2 linked regions of the Macaca fascicularis genome follow. The protein of the gene in region 1 binds, or shares a complex with, the protein of each later gene. Links are inferred from orthologs where the notes say so. Each region holds a gene or a part of one and is shown on either strand. Other genes may lie near its edges.

What was found. Proteins that work in one complex are often made in the same cells at the same time.
Region 2: MEPCE (region 1) and LARP7 share a complex: the UniProt entries of both Homo sapiens proteins name them as parts of the 7SK RNP complex. The link is inferred for Macaca fascicularis from reciprocal best matches to the Homo sapiens genes MEPCE and LARP7.

Annotation. Positions count from the first base shown.
Region 1 is NC_088377.1:49,006,031-49,012,455, reverse strand, and holds the start of MEPCE (7SK snRNA methylphosphate capping enzyme), read right to left. Parts: upstream 3,571-6,425; 5' UTR 2,343-3,570; coding exon 672-2,342; intron 1-671. UniProt on the Homo sapiens protein: S-adenosyl-L-methionine-dependent methyltransferase that adds a methylphosphate cap at the 5'-end of 7SK snRNA (7SK RNA), leading to stabilize it.
Region 2 is NC_088379.1:118,137,583-118,143,828, reverse strand, and holds the start of LARP7 (la-related protein 7), read right to left. Parts: upstream 3,666-6,246; 5' UTR 3,522-3,665; exon of another isoform or gene 2,760-3,521; intron 1,827-2,759; 5' UTR 1,738-1,826; intron 1,036-1,737; 5' UTR 941-1,035; intron 1-940. UniProt on the Homo sapiens protein: RNA-binding protein that specifically binds distinct small nuclear RNA (snRNAs) and regulates their processing and function.

The DNA of each region.
Region 1 (6,425 bases):
GCTGTGTGGGGTCAGGGGACTCCGTGGGGCATGGGGCTCTCCTCTCTGCAGAGGAGTTTCTGGTTCTTCCCTCTCCCATTATCTAGGGTCAATGTGGAGAGGATCTACAGCCAAGTCACTTGGGTTCCTGACACTCTTCACAAACTGTCTAGAAAAACAAAAGCCGCTGATGGGAGCAAGGTGGCTATCAAAGGGCAGAAACGCCAATATTAGTCTGCTGCTACCCTAATCTCCCTAGAAGACATTCCATGCCCGACCCCCATCTCAGGCTCCTTCAGTCAATCTGAGGACCAAGTTCCACCTGGATCGAATTCCCTAGTGAGCAGCAGCCTTCAAGGGAAGGGAAGGTGGACCAGTGTGGATTATAGGCCAAGCCCAGAGCACTGCAAAAAAAAAAAAAAGAGTCTTCCTTTATCTTGGAGATCCTTGCAGTCATGAGAAAGGACTCCAGGGTCAATGCCCCAAGGTAGAGACCCCACCTTTCCAGGTTATAAGAGGGGAGGACCCCACCTTTTCAGGTTATAAGAGGGGAGAGATGCCCAGCAGAGACTCTCACTTGCCAACCCAGACCTCTCTTTTGAGGAACTGGGTCATAACCTTCCCTGCCACATTCCCGTTTAATCTCATCTTCACACCTGACCCCTATTCCAAGAGCCTCTGGACCCTCTTACCGTGACGAAGACAACATTGTTGGGGAAGACTGATGTGTCCGCTCCATCCAAGGGCACTTGGGGGGCAGCGATGGGACCCCGGCTGGCAGTCAGCGAGGCTGGGAAGCAGCTCCTCTTTCGAACGGTGGTGGTCCCTTCCTCACCCTCTGCCCCCGGGTCCCCTTCCACAGTCTGGGGTGGGAGACGCAGCTCCTCGGAAAGGTAGTGTCGGATGTTCTGACGGGCAGAATGGATGAGCCGGGAATCTATATCCAAGCCCACCATGCGGGACGGGCCCCACTTGCAGGCAATGCTCAGGGTCAGATGGCCCACATTGCAGCCCAGATCTAGGACGTCCCGGCCCCGAAACCACTCAGGCTTCAACACCCGAAGGCGCCCATCCTCACAGGAAGGATTGCGGTACCCATAGTATTTGCAGTAATTCCCATACTGGAACTTGCGCTGTTGCTTTTTGAAGCCTGCTGCAGGCAGTGGGTGGTGGTGGTGGTGACGGCCTCCCCAACTCCCTCGGCCCTTTTCCTTGGAACCCTGGCCTCCACCCCTAGCCCCTGCCTCCGACTTGCTGGAAGTCCTGCGACGTTTGCGATGTCGGGAGGAGGAAGATGGGGGTGCAGAGGTAACTGAGGCAGCTGGAGGGGCTGATAGGGAGCCTGAGGGACCCTGTAGAGCAGATGGAAGCGGAGACACCACTTCATCCCTGCAGTTGATGGCTGTGTTGAGTTCATAGGGTTGGGGGGCATCCCGGTTCTGGCCTCTGTGCCGCGGCTGCTGTGAGGCGCCCTCCCCGTGGAGTGAGGGGGTGAGAGGGGCTGTGGGCAGCACGGGGTGGCTCTCACTCCCTCCGGCTGCCTGCTGCTGCTGGTGGTGCTGTCCCCGGTGTCTATGCCGCTTCCGACCAGTCTTGAGTGGCGAAGCAAGAACTACATGGCCCTCATCAGTGCAAGTATTGAGACTGAGCGGGTCAGTAATATCTTTGGGGATGAGGATCTCCACTGGATCTCGCCCTTTGGCCGGAAGGGGGGATGACTTAGGGGTCTCTGCGTTGAGGGCGCGGCTCACTTCCTCATCCAGGAGGCTATTCAGGTTTAGGGGATCAAAGATATTGCCCCCCAGGAGGAAGTTGGAGGGTAACACAGAGTCACAGTCCGAATTCACCCGCCTGCGCCTCTTGAAGGCCGGATGTTTAAAGCCTCCCCCACCTCCCCCTACATTACAGCTATTTCTCCTCTTGCCCCCGCCCCCCCCAGGTGGCCGGTGGGGCTGATAGCCATTGCGGGGTCGAGGAGGAGCAGGGGGACCCAGCTCTGTCCCGCCCCCTCCCCGGCGCTCCTCCCCCACGTCCGGGGGAGCGGCTCGCCCCGGGGTATCCGACAGGCGGGCCTCCCCGTGCGACTGCGCCTGGGGGCCGCCTCCTCGGTGCTGCTGCGCCTGGGGACCACCGGGGGGGGTGGCCGCGGCCCCGGGGCTCTCTCGACCGACCCCAGCGGCCGGGGACCCCGCAGACGGCGCGCAAGGACCCGGACCACGCTCCGTCCCGCCGCAGAGCTCCCCAGAGGCGGCCTCTTGGTGCGGTGGCACAGTGGGGCCGCCCCCTCCGCCCGACTCATCTTTGAGCGGCGGCGGCGGGGCCGGCACCAGAAACGGCTCCTTCTCCGCCGCCATCTCGATCATTTCCTCCCCTTATTCCGTCCCAGTCGGGGTAACGAGGGGGATCAGGGGGCTTAACCCCCCCTGCCTGGACCCTGCTCCCTTCCCCCCCTTTCCCGAGTGCGCGCGCAGCTCTGCTCTTCTCGCCTAGTCTCGCGCCCAAGCGCCTCCCCGCGAAGTGCGCCCCACTCGCCCGCGAGACCAAAACAAGATGCCCGCGACACCCGAACTACTCGAGCACTCAACCGCGCGTGCGCCGACCCCTTTCTCCTCCGCCACTACCACCCCGCCGCGAGCGCGCACGGCAAGCGCGCGTTCCCTTCGCCCCGGAACCACGCATGCGCACTCCGCCACCACCCTGGTTGCGCGCGCATCGGAGTACGAACCAACTTAACGGCTCTGGGAGTTTAAATATAACCCCCCACACAGCCCCCGCAAAAGCCCACCACCCCAAACTGACACCCTACTTCCCTGCGCAGCTAGGTCCGGCCCTACTGATCTCCTTTGTCTCTGCCGCGCGATCCCACCCACCGTAGGCGGGGGACGGGACCTGGTGTGAAAAGGTCTCCTTGACACCCGACCCTTGTTCCTGAGGAATGAGTCTCAGCGGTCTCCACCCGGCTCTAAATCCAACAACCTCCCCACCCCGCCTCCTTCCTCCCCCTAGTGAGCAGCGCCTGCGCACACCCTTTTGGGCTTGCGCGGGTACAGGCAGCACGTGCTGGAGGTGGCGCCCCGCCTCCCGTCTTAGGGGTAGGGCCTGTGACGTCGCTTCCTTAAGTTTGGTAAACGCAGCGTGCGTCAGCGCGATCCGGAGGGGCAGGGCTTCCCGACGAAGGGCGGTGCTCATGAATTATTCATGAGCTGTTGGTAGCACACCTCCCCCCTCTGCCCATCTTCTTAGAAGCGCTTCCGAAGGAGCAGAGAGACCCTACAAAGCCGAGGAAGGGCAGGAGTGGAACTGGGCTCAGTAAAACGCGATAGGTCATTATAACTCACCCCCCTCGAAAATATTCTCTGCTGAATTGGGGAAAAATAAAAAGCACTAAAACAGCCGGTGTTGTCCAACTTCCTCTTCCCCCGAAACGGCTGAGTCGTTCTCTGGTTCCTCTGCCTTCCCCCAATCGCAATCACCTGGAGACGCCACACCACGCCTTCCTCTCCGCCTCCACACCCACGGCCCGGACCCCAACGCCTCCGCCCATTCCCGACGCTCGCTCACTGGCCCGTCAGCTCACGGGCCTCCCCAAACGCCCGCCGCGGCGCCGCGCCGACTTATATACCAGAGAGTGTGGGCGGGGACGGGGGTTCGGTCCGCGCTGGGCCCCGCCCCCCCCGCTTCGGCCAATGAGGAAGAAGCGAATCTACGGCGTTTTCCCGGGGAGATTCGCAGCCCGGTCTTCCTGCCAGCGGAGTGCTGGGCCGAGGAGCGGGTGACAGGGGTGACAGTGGGGTCCCGGAAAGTCTCAAAATCCTAAAGTGAGGGCGTGAAGGAGACCAGCAGGAAGAGGAGGAATCAGGGAACGGAAAGAGGGAGGAAAAGGCAGTCTGAAACAGAGAAAAGTTAGTAAGATGTGCTTCAAGAACAATCAGGCGCTGCGGCCGCCGCCTAAAAATATGTGACACCAAAGAGGATTCTGGGATTTGTAGTTTTCCCGGGACGTTCGGGTGAAAGATGGCGGAATTACCTCAGCCGCGGAAACGCAGACGCTGTTTCCAGTTGCGCATGCGCCTCAGACTCCGCGAGCGCGCCTCCCGGGGGTGGAGCTAGCGCGCAGGACGTCCTCGTGCCTTTTCTTGGTGGCGGGAAACCTGGGTTGAGGTGTGAGAGGCTTGCGGAGTCGCTGCGCCAGCTGGTTTTGCACCTCGCCTTTAGGTCCTCCCTGCTCCTGAAGGTAGCCGGCTAGTTTCTGGTTGTAGGTGAAGGTGCTAGGCGCCGCCAGTCCTGGCACCCGTTGCCTGAGGAGAAACTTTCTCAGGGCGACAACCAGCTCTTGGCCCTTTTTCCTCAGAATCTGTCGTCCCCAAGAAACAGACAAAAACAGCCCAGTCTCCTGACGGGCACTGACAATATGAGTGAGAATGAGGATCACGGTGCCTTGGCGGGAGTGGGAGTGGAGGGGAGATTCCCTCATGGTGGGAGGAAGGAAGGGAAGGAACGGGAAAGAGAGAGGGGGACGCCACCGTTTACGGGGAGAGGCGAGGACGTGTGGCTCAGGGACACCTCCGAACTGAACCCCTATCCCTGAGAGAGAATAAGGGGTGAGGGAAGAGAGAGGAAAATGGGAGCACCCCCCAAATGGGAAGAACTTCTCCCCAAAACTTCTTCCCTTTGGATTGCAAGGTGCATTTGGGATTGGGGCTTTTTAAAAATTATCTTTTATTTTTTATTATTTTTTAAAAGACAGTCTTGCTCTGTCGCCCGGGCTGGAGTGCAGTGGCGCAATCTCCGCTCACTACAACCTCCGCCTCCCGGGTTCAAGCGATTCTCCTGCCTCAGCCTCCTGAGGAGCTGGGGTTACAGGCGCCCACCACCACGCCCAGCTAATTTTGTATTTTTAGTAGAGATGGAGTGTCTCCATGTTGGCCAGGCTGGTCTCGAACTCCTGACCTCAGGTGACCTCTTGGCCTCGCAAAATTCTGGGATTATAGGCACGCCCCACCGTGCCCGGCTAATTTTTCCGTATTTTTAGTAGAGACGGGGTTTCACGTATTGGCCAGGCTGGTCTTGAACTCCTGACTTCAGGTGATCCACCTGCCTCTTCTTTCTTGTTAAACGTTTTAAATCAGGCTTGCTGAGCTTGTGCACAAACGTGAAGGAAGCAAGCAAGGGAGGGAAGGGGGAGGAAGGAAGGAGGGAGGGAAGGAGAAGAGAGAGGGAGGGAGAAAGGGGGCAGGGAGGGAGGAGGGGGAGAGAGGAGGGGGTGAATAGAGGAAGGGAAAAAGGGGAGGGGCGAGGGAGGAGGGGGTGAAGAGAGGAAGCGAAAAGGGAGGGAGGGAGGAGGGAGAGGAAGGATGGAGGAGGAGAGGTGGGGAAGGGAGGAGGGGGAGGGAGGGGGTAGGAAGGAGAGGGGGAGGAAAGAGGGAAGGGGGAGGGGGAGGAAAGAGGGAAGTGGGAAGGAGGAGGGGGAGAAAGGAGAGGGGGAGGAAGAGAGGGAAGGAGGGAGGGAGGAAGAGGAGGGAGGAAAGGAGGAAGGGAGGGAAGAGGGAGAGGAGGGAAGGAGGAAGGAGAGGGAGAGAGGAAGGGAGGAGGACAAGGAAGGAAGGAGAGGGAGGGAGAGAGGGAAGCGGGAGGGGGAGGGAGAGAGGAAGGGATGGAGGGACAAAGGGAGACAGGAGGGAAGAAGGAAGAGAGGGAGGGAAGAGGGAGGAAGGGAAAAAGGAAAGAAGGGAGGAAACTGCTATTAGTTAATTGATGCATGAAAATAAGCAGGCGTCCACATACTGTTATTAATGCAAAAAGGAAGATCAGACTCTGGCTTAAGAAAGATTTGAAATATACTTTTTTTTTTTTTTTTTTTGAGATGGAGTCTCGCTCATTTTGCCCAGGCTGGAGTGCAATAGCACGATCTTGGCTCACTGCAGCCTCCACTTCCTGGGTTCAAGTGATTCTCCTGCTTCAGCCTGCCAATTAGCTGAGATTACAGGCGCCTGCCACCACGCCCGGCTAATTTTTGTATTTTAGTGGAGACGGGGCTTCACCATGTTGGTCAGGCTGGTCTTGAACTCCTGACCTCAGGTGATTCGACCACCTTGGCTTCCCAAAGTGCTGGAATTACAGGCGTGAGCCACTGCGCCTGGCTGAAATATACTCTTTACCGCTTTTTTGAGACTCAGGGAGTCTGGATTAGATGACAATGCTGAAGGGTTTACTTCTCTTAGACCAAGGATTTGAGGAACAAGGTAAAGAAGGGAATGATTGGATGGTTAGGAGGAGGAAGTGTGGGAACACATTCTGAATGGTGTGTGGGGAGAGAGAATTACTGTTTATTTTTTAAAAATTGGCAAGACTGACAAGTTATTTCACTAGGTCAGTTCTCAAACTTTTTGGTCTGAGAACCCTTTTATACTCTTAAATTATGGAGGACTCCAAAGAGCTTTTATTTG
Region 2 (6,246 bases), on another chromosome or scaffold:
CAGACTACCTGCTCTCCAATTCATTTCCTTGTCAAAGCCCTAAGGAAAAGTAGACAGAAATATATAGGCGCAGAAAGCCACAATTTTCCCAGAAACCAGACTTTCCTTATCATTCTCATCTCTCAGCCCAGAGACCCTCCTTCATTCTTTTCCTAAGGATTATTTTTGTGGCTTGAAGTATTTAAGTTCAGAATGATTTACCTTCGATTTAGATTAAATAGCAAGGAACATAAGATATGGTATAATTTAGCTTCTTTATACATTGACTGTAGAGAATCAGGAAGTTATAATACTTTCGTTAGTCTTGATCCTCAAAGTCCATACTTCTCAATGTCCTGTGATAACAGGTATGTGTGTTGTCACTCCACACATTCCAAATCAAACTCATTGTCTTTCTTATCCACACCTGTTCTTTCTACCATCCTCAACTTATTTAAGGATGCCATATTCCACCAAGTTAACCAATCAAGCTACTTATTAGCTGTGTGGATTTTGAGGAAGTTACCCCATCTCTCTGCGGTCTATAAAATATGGATAAAAATCATACTCACATTATAAGGTTGTTAGCATTAGCCAAAATAATGTAAATAAAAGCACTTCAAATTGCTAAGATATAGAACACAAGTAACCATTATTCTATCCAAACTCTTGTTAAATCCTACCAGTTTGACTTTTGAAATGGCTCTCATCTCCATCCAGTGTTTTCTACAACTACTGCTACAACTGTCACTAGAATATGCCAATAGTTTATAAACTGTTCTGTAAGTCATCCATTCTCAGCAGAAGCCTATGTATAACCCATCTAAAATACAGACCTGGTTTTGTGATGCTTCTGTCAAAACTTGCAACATTAGAAATTCCTTAGCACCTTCCCATAACATAATATGCAGTTTAAGAAAACATTGTTTAAAAAAAAAAAAGTCACGACGCAGTGGCTCACGTTTGTAATCCCAGCACTTTGGGAGGCTGAGGCGGTGGATCACGAGGTCAGGAGATGGAGACCATTCTGGTTAACAAGGTGAGATCCCATCTCTACTAAAAATACAAAAAAAAAAAAAAAAAGAAAACAAATTAGCCGGGTGTGGTGGCGGGCGCCTGTAGTCCCAGTTACTCGGGAGGCTGAGGCAGGAGAATGGCGTGAACCCGGGAGGCGGAGCTTGCAGTGAGCCAAGATTGTGCCACTGCACTCCAACCTGGGCAACAGAGCAAGACTCCAAAAAAAAAAAAAAAGTAACATTTTAGTTGCTTTAAATGCAGAATAAAAGCTACTGGGTAATAATACCAGTAATTTTATATACATTTTTGTAAATCCTCACAATCCCACTAGGTAGCAGTTTCTTCCATCTTCTTAATACAAAAACTCAAAAAAGTTATGTGACTTGGCCCAAGCTAGCTAAGTAAATTATCCCAGGTATGTTTGATCCCACATTGTCTACCTTTTGTTAGAATTTCCTGCAATTTATCACCATGGACTCTATGTTCTGACTCAGGAATTCTTAATCTGAAGTCCATGCAACTTTGTCTGGACAAGAATTCTTGTGGGCTCCGTTAAATTGTAAATAATACATTTTAAAGATAAGGTAAAATTAAGACTCTTGTACAAATATAAAATGGAATACATGGTAAAGATTTAAGCACAGTCATGGGTTGCTTAATGACAAGGACACATTCTGAGAAATGCATATTCAGGTGAGTAAGTACATCGTAGGGTATGTAGTTATTGTATGATGTACTCACCTACAAACCTAGGTAGTATCGCCTACTACACACCTATAATCTTATGGGACCACTGTCATACATGCGGTCTGTCGGTATGTGGTGCTGGACTGTAAATAAAGGAATCAGTTAAGTGTTAAAAACCAGTTCAAAGAAGAATTTAAAAAGCAGGTACGGCCGGGCGCGGTGGCTCAAGCCTGTAATCCCAGCACTTTGGGAGGCCGAGGTGGGAGGATCACAAGGTCAGGAGATCGAGACCATCCCGGTTAACACGGTGAAACCCCGTCTCTACTAAAAAATACAAAAAACTAGCCGGGCGAGGTGGCGGGCGCCTGTAGTCCCAGCTACTCGGGAGGCTGAGGCAGGAGAATGGCGTAAACCCGGGAGGCAGAGCTTGCAGTGAGCTGAGATCCGGCCACTACACTCCAGCCTGGGCGACAGAGCCAGACTCCTTCTTAAAAAAAAAAAAAAAAAAAAAAAGCACGTACATAGGCAATAAGGAACGTTGAAATAAATATTAATAAATACTGCTCAGAATAATAATTAATTGCATCTTTACTGGACAAACTCATTTCCATGTTGTTGTAGCGGGTTACATGGTTGAAAAATAGTTCAAAGATCACGAAAGACAGATAACCTGGAAGACTGAGTTAGACAGGACACCAAGTCATTTGTGTGTGTTTGCTATTTAAAATTATTTCGTAATTTTTCCTGAGGAAATTATATGCGAAATGTTTGTTTGGAGACGGAGCCTCTCTCTGTCGCCCAGGCTGGAGTGCAGTGGCGCGATCCTGGCTCACTGTAATCTCCACTTCCCGAGTTCAAGATTCTCCCAACCCGGCCTCTTAAGGGACTACAGGCGTGCACCACCACTCCCCGCTAATTTCTGTGTTTTTAGTAGAGACGCGGTTTTGTCACATTGGCCAGGTTGGTCTTGAACCCCTGACCTCAAGTGATCCGCCCGTGTCGGCCTCCCAGAGTGCTGGGATTACAGGCGTGAGCCACGGTGCCCGGCCTCGCAAAATGTTTTAAAAGGTACATACATGTTTTCCTGAGAAGCTAATCCATAACTTTTATTAGGTTTTCAAAAGCGTTTCACAACAGGTTAAGAATCATTGTTCTAGTCACTGCTTACAATTCAAGTCCCTCAACACGTAGTGGCCTGTGTCTTCTGCTTTGTCTGAATCTTCTCGTCTAAATTTCCTTACTAAATTTTCAAGGCCCAGGTTAAATGGCATCTTACTCTTTGAGATGTTCCACCACCCTGTGTCCTCTAATTAACTGCCTCCTCATTTGTTTTCGCTTAAGTTTTTTTGCTAACGCACTCTGCACACCGTATCTAGCACTTGTTAGTTCCCTTCCATAACTGGATTTTTAACTCTTTGAGGACTATGGCAGAGTCCTGCAAAAGAAGATGATAATTTTAGAATATAAATCCTCACGTTCACTATCCTCTGGCAGCCACAAGTCAGCTCCAATCTGCGAAATACTGCACTGTCTTTACTGACTACTGCTTCTCTCGGCACCCGTACTTCCACAAGGACAACGTCATAGGCAGGGCGCGCCCCAAACCTCCCCATGCTGGGCCCCTATGCGCCCCTACTCTCTGAAAACGAGAACTACAAGTACTGCCGGAAGACTTTTGCGCGTGCGCATAGATAACTAGGTCAAGGAATTGATGGATGCGCAGGCGGGAGGCGGGGTAAGAAGGACGACAAATGATAGAGTGGACCGCAAGAAAAAGGACGGAGAGTTAATCAGACGTCGCCCAAGCTGTGCGACCCTATACGCCGCTTGTAACTTACTCCGTTCAACTCCCAAAATACAGGGTCAAGTACTGCGGCCTTCAGCCCTTTCCGTCTCCCGATCCTGATAGTCTTGGTTACTTTCGCGTCATAGGATGAGCGACAACGTTCGCCGGTCCCGCTCGAGAAAGACGGGCCCAAGGCAGTGCGCGCGCCACCTACGTCACAGGCGAGGTGGTTCCGGGAGGGCGGGGCATCGGAGAGCGCGGCCGGCTGAGAGCCTCGAAGCCAAGGAAGAATTTGATTGGCGGTTTGAAAACGGCGGTTTTTGGCTTGGGCGGAGGTGGACGGGCCAAGTTTTGGGTCCTCATCTGGTGAGGTCCCGCGTTAATGACGTCACATTCTTTCGCGGGAAAAATTCGAAAGTGGATTTTCTGTAATTTTGACAGGTGAGGTGAAGTGTTTCTCGAGCTTTCCTAGGAATGGCTTGAGCGATTTGGGGCGAAGGGACAAAAGACTCTGCTCCGTAAGAAGAGAACCGGGAAGGATGCTGTTTGGAACCAGGATTAGTAACAGCTACTCGGACTGCTTGTAATAAGGGTTGCCTCTTCACCGCTTTTCCCAGGCCCTGCTTTGCAATTTCGAGTACGTATGAGGACCAAAGGGGACTTTGCTGTTCGTATTTAGGACTGATAAAGGATCGAGTCTCCATTGTCATTTGGTGACACAGGATTATGGTTATTAGAATCTTGGCAAATGATATGTGGGTTTCCTTTGTTTATTTGGACTGGATGGTTTCTTAACAATGTTGAATTCGTGATTCCAAAACTTTGTTATCTGAACTATTTAGAGGTTCAGGGTTAGGTTCAAAAAATCCTCCTTGTCTAAAAACAAAAGGAAAAACATCTTGTAATTAAATGAAAAATGGCTCATACTTTACTGAGAACACCGAGTTTTATGTATATGTATTGTATCTGTACATATCGTAGCACAAGGTATATATATGTGTGTGTATGTACGTATATCTGTAGATGTATGTATGTATATAATTATCACAGAACATTTGGGATCTTTAAAAACTTCTTTGGAGATTAATCTTTCACCTGTTAGAAGTCGGTCAGCAGGTGAATTGGCTGGTAGACGTGGACAGATGAACACTTGGAAAAAACTCTTTATCTTTGCATCTCACTTAAATATATGATGCTGTTATCTTAAATAATTTTTTCTGATTAATGCTAAGTTAAGAAAGGGTGGCCGGGCGCGGTGGCTCAAGCCTGTAATCCCAGCACTTTGGGAGGCCAAGACGGGCGGATCACTAGGTCAGGAGATCGAGACCATCCTGGCGAACACGGTGAAACCCCGTCTCTACTAAAAAATACAAAAAAAAAAAAAAAAAAAACTAGCCGGGCGAGGCGGCGGGCGCCTGTAGTCCTAGCTACTCGGGAGGCTGAGGCAGGAGAATGGCGTAAACCCGGGGGGCGGAGCTTGCAGTGAGCTGAGATCCGGCCACTGCACTCTAGCCCGGGCGACAGAGCCAGACTCCGTCTCAAAAAAAAAAAAAAAAAAGAAAGGGTGTTGACTTTCAGTGAAGAAGTATTAGAGCTCTTGTAGATTTTAAAAGATCCAGTTAGCTTTTTTTTTGAGGTTTTCTCCTGTAATCGAATTTAACCATCCTTTAAGAGTTTCCATCTTCCAAGTTCTTTTTAAACTATACCTTTCCAGAAGTAATATCTCAATTTAGGAAAATAATAGAGAATTTATCTTGCAATTGCGAAATAGCATATAAGTAATCCTAAATTAGTAAATATTGGGTTCCTAATATGTAAATTGTAATACTTATTCTTCAGGATTATGAGACTGATAAATACTATATGTAAAGTGTCTCGTCCAATTCCTGCTTGATACATAGTATGTAATCAATAAATAGTTATATAATATATATGATTACACACAATAATTAATTACATATTATATAACAGTAATATATTTATATATTATATAATTACATAATAATTATAATGTATATAATTAACATCATATAATGTATATAATGTAGTTTATAATATAGCACTTTGGGAGGCTGGGAGGATTGCTTGAGCCCAGGAGTTTGAGGCTGCGGTGAGCTATGATTGCAACACTGCACTCCAGCCTAGGTGACAGAGAGAAACCCTGTCTCTATCAAAGAAAAAGAAAAGTTAAAAAGCAAACAAAAGCGAAACCTCCAAATAAAGCATTTAACAGTCTCTAGCATATGGTAGCACTGAATACATGGTAGCTATTAAACAGATCTGATATTAATGACTGCCACATGCCCAGCACTGTGTCTGTACCATGTATTCTCATCTATGTACACAGCATATCCAGCCCAGGAGTGGTTTTCTGGATCTCTCTTTTATCTTCTTGGCATTATTAGGCATCAGCAGTTTATGTGCGCTGGAGGGGAGGGAGATAAGATGTGAGAGTTATATTTCTTTTTTTTTTTTTTTTTGAGATGGAGTCTCACTCTGTCATCCAGGCTGGAGTGCAGTGGAGCGATCTCTGCTCACAGCAACCTCCGCCTCTCGGGTTCAAGCAATTCTCCTGCCTCAGCCTCCTGAGTAGTTGGGACTACAGGCGCATGCCACCATGCCCAGCTAATTTTTGTATTTTTAGTAGAGACGGGGTTTCACCATGTTGGCCAGGCTGGTCTCGAGCTCCTGATGTCATGGTCCACCCGCCAGGGCCTCCCAAAGTGCTGAGATTACAGGCCTGAGCCACCATGCCTGGCCAGGTGTTATATTTCTGA